Ovis aries: one gene and its partners. The protein of the gene in region 1 binds, or shares a complex with, the protein of each later gene. Links are inferred from orthologs where the notes say so. Each region holds a gene or a part of one and is shown in the gene's direction. Other genes may lie near its edges.

The links. The genes of interacting proteins can lie anywhere in the genome.
Region 2: the proteins of S100A4 (region 1) and ANXA2 are in contact, whole or in part, in a crystal structure (PDB 5LPU), measured with the Homo sapiens proteins. The link is inferred for Ovis aries from reciprocal best matches to the Homo sapiens genes S100A4 and ANXA2. Residues at the interface, in NP_002952.1 of Homo sapiens: Lys35, Leu38, Pro43, Ser44, Phe45, Leu46, Gly47, Lys48, Arg49, Thr50, Asp51, Ala54, Phe55, Lys57, Leu58, Asn61, Leu62, Gln73, Phe78, Cys81, Ile82, Met84, Met85, Glu88, Phe89, Phe93; in NP_001002857.1 of Homo sapiens: Leu13, Glu14, Pro21, Ser22, Ala23, Tyr24, Ser26, Val27, Lys28, Tyr30, Thr31, Asn32, Phe33, Glu36, Arg37, Leu40, Thr44, Gln69, Asp70, Phe73, Arg77, Arg78.
Region 3: the proteins of S100A4 (region 1) and MYH9 are in contact, whole or in part, in an NMR structure (PDB 2LNK), measured with the Homo sapiens proteins. The link is inferred for Ovis aries from reciprocal best matches to the Homo sapiens genes S100A4 and MYH9. Residues at the interface, in NP_002952.1 of Homo sapiens: Leu38, Ser44, Phe45, Leu46, Gly47, Lys48, Arg49, Thr50, Asp51, Ala54, Phe55, Lys57, Leu58, Asn61, Leu62, Ser64, Gln73, Glu74, Cys76, Val77, Phe78, Ser80, Cys81, Ile82, Met84, Met85, Cys86, Glu88, Phe89, Phe90; in NP_002464.1 of Homo sapiens: Thr1906, Ala1909, Met1910, Glu1913, Val1914, Ser1915, Leu1917, Lys1918, Lys1920, Leu1921, Arg1922, Asp1925, Leu1926, Pro1927, Phe1928, Val1929, Val1930, Pro1931, Arg1932, Met1934, Ala1935.

What each region holds. Positions count from the first base shown.
Region 1 is NC_056054.1:104,001,921-104,005,851, reverse strand, and holds S100A4 (protein S100-A4), read left to right. Parts: upstream 1-1,131; 5' UTR 1,132-1,289; intron 1,290-2,127; 5' UTR 2,128-2,142; coding exon 2,143-2,283; intron 2,284-3,293; coding exon 3,294-3,458; 3' UTR 3,459-3,594; downstream 3,595-3,931. UniProt on the Homo sapiens protein: Calcium-binding protein that plays a role in various cellular processes including motility, angiogenesis, cell differentiation, apoptosis, and autophagy.
Region 2 is NC_056060.1:48,019,923-48,023,422, forward strand, and holds part of ANXA2 (annexin A2), read left to right. Parts: intron 1-1,684; coding exon 1,685-1,775; intron 1,776-2,686; coding exon 2,687-2,766; intron 2,767-3,500. UniProt on the Homo sapiens protein: Calcium-regulated membrane-binding protein whose affinity for calcium is greatly enhanced by anionic phospholipids. It binds two calcium ions with high affinity. May be involved in heat-stress response.
Region 3 is NC_056056.1:180,372,925-180,376,424, reverse strand, and holds part of MYH9 (myosin-9), read left to right. Parts: intron 1-556; coding exon 557-769; intron 770-1,503; coding exon 1,504-1,648; intron 1,649-2,886; coding exon 2,887-3,093; intron 3,094-3,296; coding exon 3,297-3,401; intron 3,402-3,500. UniProt on the Homo sapiens protein: Cellular myosin that appears to play a role in cytokinesis, cell shape, and specialized functions such as secretion and capping. Required for cortical actin clearance prior to oocyte exocytosis. Promotes cell motility in conjunction with S100A4.

The sequences.
Region 1 (3,931 bases):
GGCATGGGGGCAACTCGGGGACGATGCCCATGGGAGGATGGTTTGCGGGGGGGGCTCTCTGTCTGTCTGTCTGTCTGTATCGGGCAGGTCTCTGAAGAAGAAGCTCCCTTGGGCTGTGAAGGAGGTGAGAGGAGGGTCAAACTCAGTCCCCCAGACCAGATGTTCTGGGAGGAGGGTGGGGCCGTAGGGGAGAGGGCGGGTCTGTCCCCGGCCCCTGGGCTATGAGAGCCCAGAGTGCAGCACTAATCTGATCAGGGGTTGGACTAGGGTGTTGCTCCCTGATCATTTGGGGAGGGGTGCTCTGCTGCTGAAGGGGGAAGGAGAGAGACCTTCAGGCAGACCCCTCTCCTTGAAGCCACAGCCACCTGAGGGGTTAACCCCCGACTCCTGACCCTCCCTCAACCCCTGAGCTCATACCTTACCCTGGGAGGTTCCCTTGATCCTTGCCTCCCCTCATTTTGTGCTGCATCACCTCTAACTTTCCTCCGCTCCCTGCCCTCTTCATCCCTGACACCCAGCCCAAATCTAAGCCCCCTCCCAAAGCCCTCTGCCAAATCTAAGCCCCCTCCCAACGCCCTCTGCCACCCCACTGCTCTCGGTCCCTTCAGTCCATCCCTGAGCCCCAAGGCATGCCTCTCCTTCCCCATTCCATCACTCTGGCATCCAGCGCCTTTCTGCAAGGATGTGCCTGCGGGGGGTCCCCAAGCCTCCTTTGGGTGTTAGCCAGTTCCTCCTCCCAGACCCCCAGCTCCCACTGTCCCGGGGCTCACTCCACAAGGTAGGAAGCTCTTTGGGGAGGGGTGCAGGGCAGCGTGAGCCGTCCCCAGCACCGAAACTGAGGGGCCCTCCCTGTCTTCTCAGGCTGCCGCATCCCAGGGCAGTTTCCCACCTGCCACCTTCCACCCCTCTATGCTGGCTGCCTGGTGGGACCACGTCCTCCTTGTCCCTCATGCCCCAGGCACAACCTGTCCCTCCCCCCAGCTCCCTAAAACTCGAGCTGAGCTGTGCACACCCACCCTCCAGGCCCCTGCCTGTGCCCCTGGGGCTCTCCCATGTCCGTCTGTGCCTGCTGGGGCAGGAAGCTAGCTTTCCAGGCTGGGCGGGTGGAGGGGGGTGGAGGGGGGCCGTGGCGTTCACCACATCAGCCCACGATAGGAGGGCTGGGTCCTGTTCTCCCGCATCCCCTGCCATGGGCAGGGCCTGGCCCGGGTATAAATAGGTCAGACTGCTGGGTTCTCCCCATTCTTCCTCTCTCCCCATCATCTCTCCCCAGCACTTCCTCTCTCTTGGTGAGTTGTGGTCGCCTGACTGGCATGCAAGAGGTGTCAGGCCGAGGCTGGGTGCAGGAGAAAGGGAGGTGGATGGGGGCCAGAGGCACTAAACGGGTCCAGATGTGAGATTCCGATGTGGAGGCTCTGGGGTGGGTGGTGTGCGTGTGCACAAGTGCGTGTGCACTCAGGAAAGAACAACAAGTGTGAGGTGGCTGGTGGGAACTGTCTGAGGGGTTCTGTGATGCCGGGGCTTGCGTGCGTTGTTGCTGCTGTACACACTGGTGGGTGTGTGGGCTGGTGTCTGCTGGGTGGCACACTTGGATGTGGAAAGCACAGTGAAGGCAGAAGGCGCCTGTGGGCTCTGGCTGGTTATGTCCTAGGAGCCTCGGTCCTGCACCAGCAGCCCAGCCCAAGGGAGGGTGGCCTCCCCGTCCCTGCCCTGCATCCGTGCCTCTGCCACCTCACCCTGCCCCTCCCTATGCACTGGTTTTTTCCGCTAGGCCCCTGGGCAAGCCTCCAGCAGCCTCACCCAGCCCAGTGTTGGGAGGGGGAAAGAATGGGCTGGGGTGGGGCTGCTGTGGGCTGAGCGTACCAGTGAGTGAATGGACCAAGTGAGGGTGGAGAAAGTGCTCCTGGGGAGCTGGCTGCCTGGAACCCGGAGCCTGAGCACCAGGCCCTGCAGGGGTTCACTGCCCCAAGCATACATTTCCCTCTCCCGCTAGGAGCTGAACCCCTTTCTGGATGGGAGCAGTGTCACCAATGTGCTCCCTGAGGGATGGGAGTGGGGGGCATTTACAAATACATAGCTGGGGGTGGGGTGGGGAAAATAAGGTTGTCTCTGTGACCCTGCCCCCAGCTCCTGATTGCTGCCATGGCGTACCCCCTGGAGAAGGCCCTCGATGTGATGGTGTCCACCTTCCACAAGTACTCGGGCAAGGAGGGTGACAAGTTCAAGCTCAACAAGTCTGAGCTAAAGGAGCTGCTGACCCGGGAGCTGCCCAGCTTTTTAGGGGTGAGTGATACTGCCTGGGAGGCACCCGTCCTCTGTGAAGCATTACCTACAGCTGGCATCTGCTGCTGACACGGGCAATTTCCAGGCAGAGAGCTTACCCTGGCTGCCTGGGGCCAAAGCACGGTGAGCACCCACAGCTCACTTCCTAGCACCCTCAGAAAGAGGGCAGAGTGAGCAGATAGGGTATGGTGCTCTGTACAACTTCCCTGGAGGGAAACTGATGCTCAGAGAGGCTAAGTAACTTCCCAAGGAAGTCCGTGTTTAAAGCTGAGATCATGAACTGCGATGGTCAAACTCTTGCCATCACTCCAGCAATGAAACTTGTTGTTGTTTTTTTTTAAGATTCTGTGAAAGTTATATGCCTTTTTTTTTTAAGTTGAAATATCGTTGATTTACACTGTGTTTATTTCAGGTGTACAGCAAAGTGATTTAGCTATATATACACATATCTATTTTTTCAGATTTTTTTCCATTATAAGGTATTACACAATATTGAATACAGTTACCTGTGTGATACAGTAAATCCTTGTTGCTTATCTCTTTTATATACAGTAGTGTATATCTGTTAACCTCATATTTCTATTTTATCACCATCCCCCCGCCCCATAAACCATTTTTGAGTTTCTGTTTGGCTTGTGGACGTGAAGATACAGTTCTCTGGAGACACTCACACACTTACAGAATTCTCTTGAGCAATCCCAGATGCCGTCTGTATCAACCTTTACGCTGTTTATCTATTGCTTTCATGACCACTGTATGATTGGACTCTTAAAATGACCTTGGCAGAAGAGGCTGTGGTCTCCTTTACGCAGTTGTACCCAGGTCCTCAGACTTCATCTGAGGGGTAGCTTAGCCCCTAGGGCTGGAGGTCCAGAGCCAGGCCCCGCAGGGGTGCCTGTGTCCTCCTGAGCTCCCGTCTGGAGCTCAGACCTCACCCGGTGCTAGCTCTGCTCCACTTCCCGACCCCGACCTCGCTTCCGGTTTCCACCTGTAGCCTCTTCCTCCTGCAGAAAAGGACGGATGAAGCTGCGTTCCAGAAACTGATGAGCAACCTGGACTGCAACAAGGACAACGAGGTGGACTTCCAGGAGTACTGCGTCTTCCTGTCCTGCATCGCCATGATGTGCAATGAGTTCTTCGAAGGGTTCCCTGATAAGCAGCCCCGGAAAAAATGAAGGCTCCTCAGGTGTGGGGCAGGGGTGGGCTGCCAGCTGGGGTCTTCCCTGTTGGCGGTGGGCGCATCACCTCACCCTGGCTCCTCCAGATGTGAGCACAATACTGAACAAGTTCAATAAAGATTCTTGAAAGCTATGAGGCTGATGGTCTGAGAAACTCCGGGGGCGTGGGGTGGGGCCTGAGGGATGCCTGGTGGGGCCAGTGGGGAGGGGGTAATGGAGGATGCTGGGAGTTGAGCTGTAGTCTTCTGGAGAGTGGAGAGCAGATTAGTGAAAGTGGAGAGGGATGTGGGGGACTGTGCATGTGTGTGAAGGACAGAGTCGACTCTGGATGGGGTCAAAGGCAGGGAAAGGGACCCCAGAGGCTTGGAACATCCTGGCTGTAGGATCTTAGCCAGTGTTCTCACCCATCCCACCTCCCCAGCCTTGCCTCTGGCAGGATCTCTGACTGAGGCTGGGATGGATTCGGAGGT
Region 2 (3,500 bases), on another chromosome or scaffold:
TGAACAATGCTTAAAAAAAAATCTGTTTTGACTTCTGGCAGTACCACTGGCAATATCTGCCGTATGGTACAGTAGACATTGCCCTTGTGATGGGAACTGTGGACAGTCTGTGGAGAGCTTGGGCCAAGTTTGAAATTGCCAAGGTCACTTTTAAATATAGAGAAAAAACACTCAGAATTTTCCTGTGTTAAAATGGGCATATCAGTGATGCAAGAAAACAAATCTATGTTGCTGTACCTATTTTACATTTCAACAATGTTAAGAAATAACATTTCTTCCAATGCATGAGTTATTTTTTAGACTATATTTACATCCTCGAGATTGACAAACTGCCCCTTAAAATATGTGAAGATGCTTGGTAGTCTCTGTATAATATTCTTATAGAATGTTGTGTAGACCTTTTGCTAAGGGAAGGAATTTTGGTTTTGCAAGCACCTCTACAAATCATGATTAAAAACTCTGGGAGAAGAGGCTTTGGCTCATAGATTAGATTGAGGAATAAAATTCAGAATTAACTATTAACCTGAGGCTTAGCTCATATTATACAAACTACTTTTTCAGGGGCACATAAACTCTAATAAGTTTAATTAATAGCTGACACACTTCTCATGTGGATAAGTAAGTTTCTTATTGTATTAACACCTTATAATTGATTTACATTTTAAACAGTGGTAATTCTGCTTAGTTCAAAGTGATATTTCCATATTCGGAAAGATGAGTATTAGAGAATCCTGATTATTAAATCTTGACTTTGATCATGAAGCCAGCTTTGAAATACATGTTTCACTGAGTCCTTTCAAGCTATCTGGCACGCCAGCTCAAAAGTGTATATATTAAATTTGAATACATCACCCATCAAATTCTCATTCCTTAATAAAGTGTTGGTGTCTAGGTTTATTTGGCGCTTCATTATTTCCTTTTGCTTCTCTAAAATGCCTGAAGAGTGCATAGTAATCAAGCAAAAATGGAAGTACAAGAATGAAATTTTTAACATTAACCCAGTTTTACATTTCAAAGAGGTAAAGCTAAAAATTTTATCTTATCTATACCTTTCCCTCATAAAAGACTTATTTCAGTCTAACAATGCTGGCTGCCAACAACAGCTCAAAATCTCTATATTCCTTTATTTTAAATTAATGAGCAGAATTGTGTAATAAAGTAAATGATTTCTTATCTGTGAAAATAATGGCTGATTATTAGAGGAGTTGAAAAATAAAGAAACAAAGAGAAGATGAAGTTATTCATTTTATAAACCCATCGCCAAAAAGGGCTGTATTCTAACATGTTGGTATATTCCATTACTGTCTCTTCCCATTTAACTATATGTTTATATATAGTGGGGAAATATATATATATATATATATGTGTGTGTGTGTGTGTGTGTGTGTGTGTGTGTGTGTGTGTGTATGTGTATATATATATATATATATATATAGTTGAGCTAAAAATAAAAAATGCCAGTTAAACTGTCCTTTATTCTAGTAAAGCTTTTTTTTTTTTTTAAAGGAATAGAATATAACATTACCTTGTGCCAAGGACTCAGTACAGATCCCTCAGGAGGAATGCAGAAAGGGACGCACTGTAGACCGAACTCATGCGTGCAGTTTACCTGATTGAGTTCAGAGAAGTGGGCTAGTGGCCGGGAGGGGTTTCCCTGCTAATGTCTGTGCTGCCTGGTTCCCAGGGGCTGGGGACTGATGAGGACTCTCTCATTGAGATCATCTGCTCAAGGACCAACCAGGAGCTGCAGGAGATCAACAGAGTCTACAAGGAAAGTGAGTAGCCCCAGGTCCATGGTGCATCCACTCCACCTTGTGTCTGGGACCACTGTCCTGGCCTCCTGGTCTGGTGTTCAGGATAGGATCCCTTGATTCCATGTGTAGAAATACCTGCCATCTGGACTGTCCAGGGGTTTGCTGTGACCAGGTCACTCTCCTCCATCTCCTGATAGCCTGGTCTTTGTGACTACATCCCCCTAAAACTAGTTCAGAAGGATATATGGGAGGGAAAGCAGAGACTATCAAACAAAAGAGATCTGATGGGGAGAAGTAGAAAGTATCCCCCGTGGATTTCATGTACTGAGTGCTGTCCTGTGTCTGCTGAGGCGATTCCCAGACTTGACTGTGGGTCATTGTTTCAAGAGACAGCAGAACCACGTGTGCCAAGCAGTAGAGGAGGCCAGAGGTGGAGTGAGTGATGCAGCATGCCTGGTGTGCGGTACTTCATTTCAACATAGGTGTTGAGTAGGAAAATACAAATTCATTCAAAAGTACCCTTTAATTCTTACTAATTTTTTGCCATTGTGCATTTTCTCAATCAGTGGATATAAAGCACAATTGTGTTTGTGTGTGTGTAGTCCTCCAAATTTTTTCATGTTCTAAATAAGTATAATCAAGAAGTTTGGGAAGTAGTATTTTAGCTAGACAGGAGGTCCCTAATCAAAGGCGAGCTTGAGAATTCCCTGTCTGATCCTGCTCTGTGTATTGCTTGTCACTGATAATAATATAATAATACTAGTTCTGATTTTATGAGGGTAAAATTCCTTCTTGAGAATCCACCCTCATTTTTAGGGGTACATCCACGCTGCCACAGATTTCTGCTTTTCAGAGGCTTAGTGGGCAGAGGATGGGTAGGGTGGCTGGCTGCGTAGGCAGGAGGTGTTAAACCAGATGTGTTGTTTTCCAAGTGTACAAGACCGATCTGGAGAAGGACATTGTTTCCGACACATCTGGCGACTTCCGCAAGCTGATGGTCGCCCTCGCAAAGGTTAGTTTCCGGCTCGTTTCTTTGTCCTTGCTTCCTCCCAAAGCAAGTTACATACCTCATTTTATACTCGGGAGCGAATTAACTCAGTCCTCTGGGCCTGCATCAGAAATTCCAGCTGTATTTTGACAGTGGGTTTGCACTGTCAACTGCAGAGTTGTCATTTTTGTATAATAGGATTTCTTATCCTGCAAAACCGTATGGTCAGGTGGACTTTGGGGCCAGAGGTGGAAGAGGCAGCTCTTAGCTCCTGGCCTGGATTTCTGTGCCAGCCTTGTGACTTGGGGAAAGTCATTTTGCCTCTCTATGTTGTCACATAGGACCCAGTGGGAAGTGACCCTCTTGTTTCTTTCACCTGTTATAATTTCTTAGGGGATGGTTTGCCCAGGTAGTGGTTTGCCTGGGGAGAAGCTCTTTGCTTGTTTGCCAAGGTTAACACATTAATGTAGCTGAAAGGCACTTCCCTTCTAAGTCTGAGTTCTGACCCATGTGCAGTTTAATGACTCTGAGCGCTGCAAGGGAAGAGGAATTTTCATCCAGGAACCCTGAAGACAAGTGGGCACACTCCATCCTGGCCACCTACACCTCCATTCCGCCCTCCCCAGCTCCCTTCTCTACCACCTGCCCTGAGTCTGGTCACCTACCCATCATTTTGAAATCTACTTGTACTGTTTTACTCATACCCTGATCAAAACTCATTTCTGCTGTATCACATACAAACCCTCAACTGCCTCAGG
Region 3 (3,500 bases), on another chromosome or scaffold:
CCAATCACAGCAATTCTTTCTTTTATAAAATTTCATGGCTACAGGTATGCTTTTTAAAAATAGATTTTATTTGGGGGTGCATTTTTAAGTTAATAAGAAAATTGAGCAAAAGTTGTAGTGATTTCCCAAGAACCCGCCATTAGCAACTGCCCCCACAAGAGTGATACATTTGTTACAACTCATGAAGCTGCTCTAATGTTCGATTATCACCCTAAGTCCAGAGCACATTTGTGTTTCTACTTTGATATTGTAATCATGGACTGTAGCATTTTATTTCCTTTTTGTTTTTTCATTTAACATTTCAATAAAAAAAAATGTTTAAAGCACTGAATTTGGAAAATGAAATTTTTCCTCTGTGAGGCTTTTGAAGTCTCCTAGTGGAATAGCCCTTAAGTCTTCCAGATGCCTCAGTGTCTTTGCCAAGAAGAGCTCCTAAGGGGCTATGATTGTCACCAGCAGGACTGGCTTCGGCTGCATCTCTCTAAGCCTTTTCTGCAGACTCTGCTCTCTGAAGGTGACAGCAACCTCATCCTGACGTTGGTGCTCTCTTTGGCAGAGTGGAAGAAGAAACCACCCAGAAGAACATGGCCCTGAAGAAGATTCGGGAGCTGGAATCTCAGATTTCGGAACTCCAAGAAGACCTGGAATCTGAGCGTGCTGCTAGGAATAAAGCCGAGAAGCAGAAACGAGACCTCGGGGAAGAGCTGGAGGCTCTGAAAACGGAGCTGGAGGACACTCTGGATTCCACAGCTGCGCAGCAGGAGCTCAGGTGTGCCTTGGGGCTGACTGCCTTGTCACTGAGGATGGGGGTGGTGGTGCAGGGAAAGGGGGCCCCTGGCCTCAGAGGGGGGACCCCAGGGCCTCTGCACACACACAGTGTGGCCTGTTGTCATGGAGCCTGGAAGCTCCAGGAGATAGTGAGGGACTGGGAGGCCTGGTGTGATGTAGTCCGTGGAGTTGCAAAGTGTCAGACACAGTTTAGTGAGTGAACAACAAGAACAGATGGAAGCTGATGGTGCCTCAGCAGCTTCTCTCTAGAGCTGAAGAACCTGGCTTGGAGTTGGGCTGAGGCAAGGGTGGGCTTTAAGGCTGAAAGGCTGCGGAAGCCCCTACAAGGTGTGTCTGTGGGGACTTCCTGGCTCCCTAGTGGTTAAGACTCTGTGCTTCCACTGCAGCGGGCATGGTTCAGTCGCTGGTTGGGGAGCTAAGCTCCAGCATGCTTTGTGGTGCAGCCAGAAAAAAATCTTATAAATTACTCTTGGCTCCCCATATTTAGAATAAAATCCAATTCCTTGCATAAAAGGTCTATATTACATTTTTTTTTTTAATGGAGAGAAAAAAAGTGTGTCTGTGAGCCTGTGCTATAGGATGGACAGCTGAGGAGGGAAGCCAGCAGGCAGAAAGCTGCCTGGAATGGCCAGTGCTCCCCACCGGACTCTGTGCTGCCAGGGCAGCGTCGCTCCTGGGCCCTGGCCTCCCTCCTGAAGGCATTTCTCTGTTCAGGTCCAAACGTGAACAAGAAGTGAACATCCTGAAGAAGACTCTTGAGGAGGAGGCCAGGACCCATGAGGCCCAGATCCAGGACATGAGACAGAAGCACTCGCAGGCCGTGGAGGAGCTGGCTGAGCAGCTGGAGCAGACGAAGCGGGTGCGTGGGCCCCCCGGGACCATGAGGCTCGGCCACTGTGGGCGGGGGGGAGGGTTGGGGGACCCTCGCGTAGTCCAGGCTCCAGCCCTTCCTGACTGCGTGCCTTGGGGGCCATACAGGTCCCTCTGTGCTTCAGTTTCCTCTTCTGTGAGGGAGGCTAGTGAGAGCCCGTTGCATGCAATTACGTGAGAGTTGGAGTTGGTAACATGTGACAGTGCACAGTTGGTAAGGGCTCAGTAAGTTGTTCTAGTCTTACCATTATTATCCTGTTCAACACCCTGCCAGACCAAAGTTTCATGGAATTGGAGTGACTCTGAAACAAGTCTCAGAGGCCACTGGGTCCCTTTCCTGAAGCCCAGCCCTTCTTTAGAACACCTCCAACACATGGTCAACTGGAATCTTCAGGGAGAACCCTGGGGATGTTGACCCGGCTGGTTTCTCAGCCAGGGGACTGTGACCAGGCAGTTCCTGAACAAGCCCAGTCCTGCCTCCTGTGGTTTCCAGCTCACGGCCACCCTTGTTGGTAGCCCAAGAAGACAGAGGCTCTTCTGTGTGGCAGCCTGTACAATATTTTCAGAAACATGCCTTGTCCCTCTGTTTCCCTTTGACTTCCTCCTGGTTCTGGGCAGGTTGAAGCCTTGCCTTTTCCTCTAGCTGTTTTCACCCAAAGAGCTTTTGCATGCACTTGGGGTCTGGTTTACCCTTGAACTTGCCTTTGATACTGTGACTGGCTTGATATAGAATAGATTGGGATTGTGTTTGTTCTGTAAACTTGGCTTTTATATTTTTTGGAAGAACATTTCAGTGTTATGGTGAACATCAAATTTCTAAGAGGCTTTCCTGGAAGTCTAACTATGAACAGTTACAGTTTCCCTAAGCCTATAATAACAATGCTAAAATCTTAACATCAGCGATGACAGTGTCTTGCCCTTGGACATTCCCTGTGCCCTGTGCGGGAGGCCAGGCAGGGATGGTTTGAGAGCCAGGGGAGCAGTGGTCCTCAGGTGAGGCCACGCGCCAGGCGTCCTGTCCCAGCTGGGTGATGAGTCCACATCCGGCCTGAGCCCTCCAAGTCCACGGTCCTCGCCAGCTCGCTGCCCCCTGGACTTGCCTGGTGTCACTTTTGCTGCAGGGCGGCAGATTCCGAGTCTGGCTCCACTGGCTCTTTGATGATGTTGGGAAAACCAGCCTCATGTCACAGGCTCCCCCTTTTATGTCTTTGCTTTCTCCCCTCGCAGGTGAAAGCCAACCTCGAGAAGGCCAAGCAGACCCTGGAGAATGAGCGAGGGGAGCTGGCCAACGAGGTGAAGGTGCTGCAGCAGGGCAAGGCGGACACCGAGCACAAGCGCAAGAAGGTGGAGGCCCAGCTGCAGGAGCTGCAGGTGAAGTTCACCGAGGGCGAGCGTGTGCGCACAGAGCTGGCCGACAAGGTCTCCAAGCTGCAGGTGAGGCCCCCACCGGACTGCCTGGGTCCTGGCCCCTGCTGCCAGGGCCCCTGGTCTTCTCTCGCTCTCTCCATGACCCGGCTCATCTGTGAGCCCCCTGGGGTTCAGCCTGTAGCTCAGGTCCAGCATGGCTGAGAGAGCCGAGGTAGGCCCTGAGCAATCCTGGTCAAGCTCATGGGGCTTTGTCTCCCGTCCACGCACAGGTCGAGCTGGACAATGTGACGGGTCTTCTCACCCAGTCGGACAGCAAGTCTAGCAAGCTCACCAAGGACTTCTCTGCTCTGGAGTCACAGCTGCAGGACACACAGGTAAGGGCAGCGATGCCCCCCCACCGCAGCTAAGGACCCTGTGCCCACACGGCCTTAGCTGCCAGGCCTCTGGGTCTTCCTCACAGTGTCCTCCCCCAG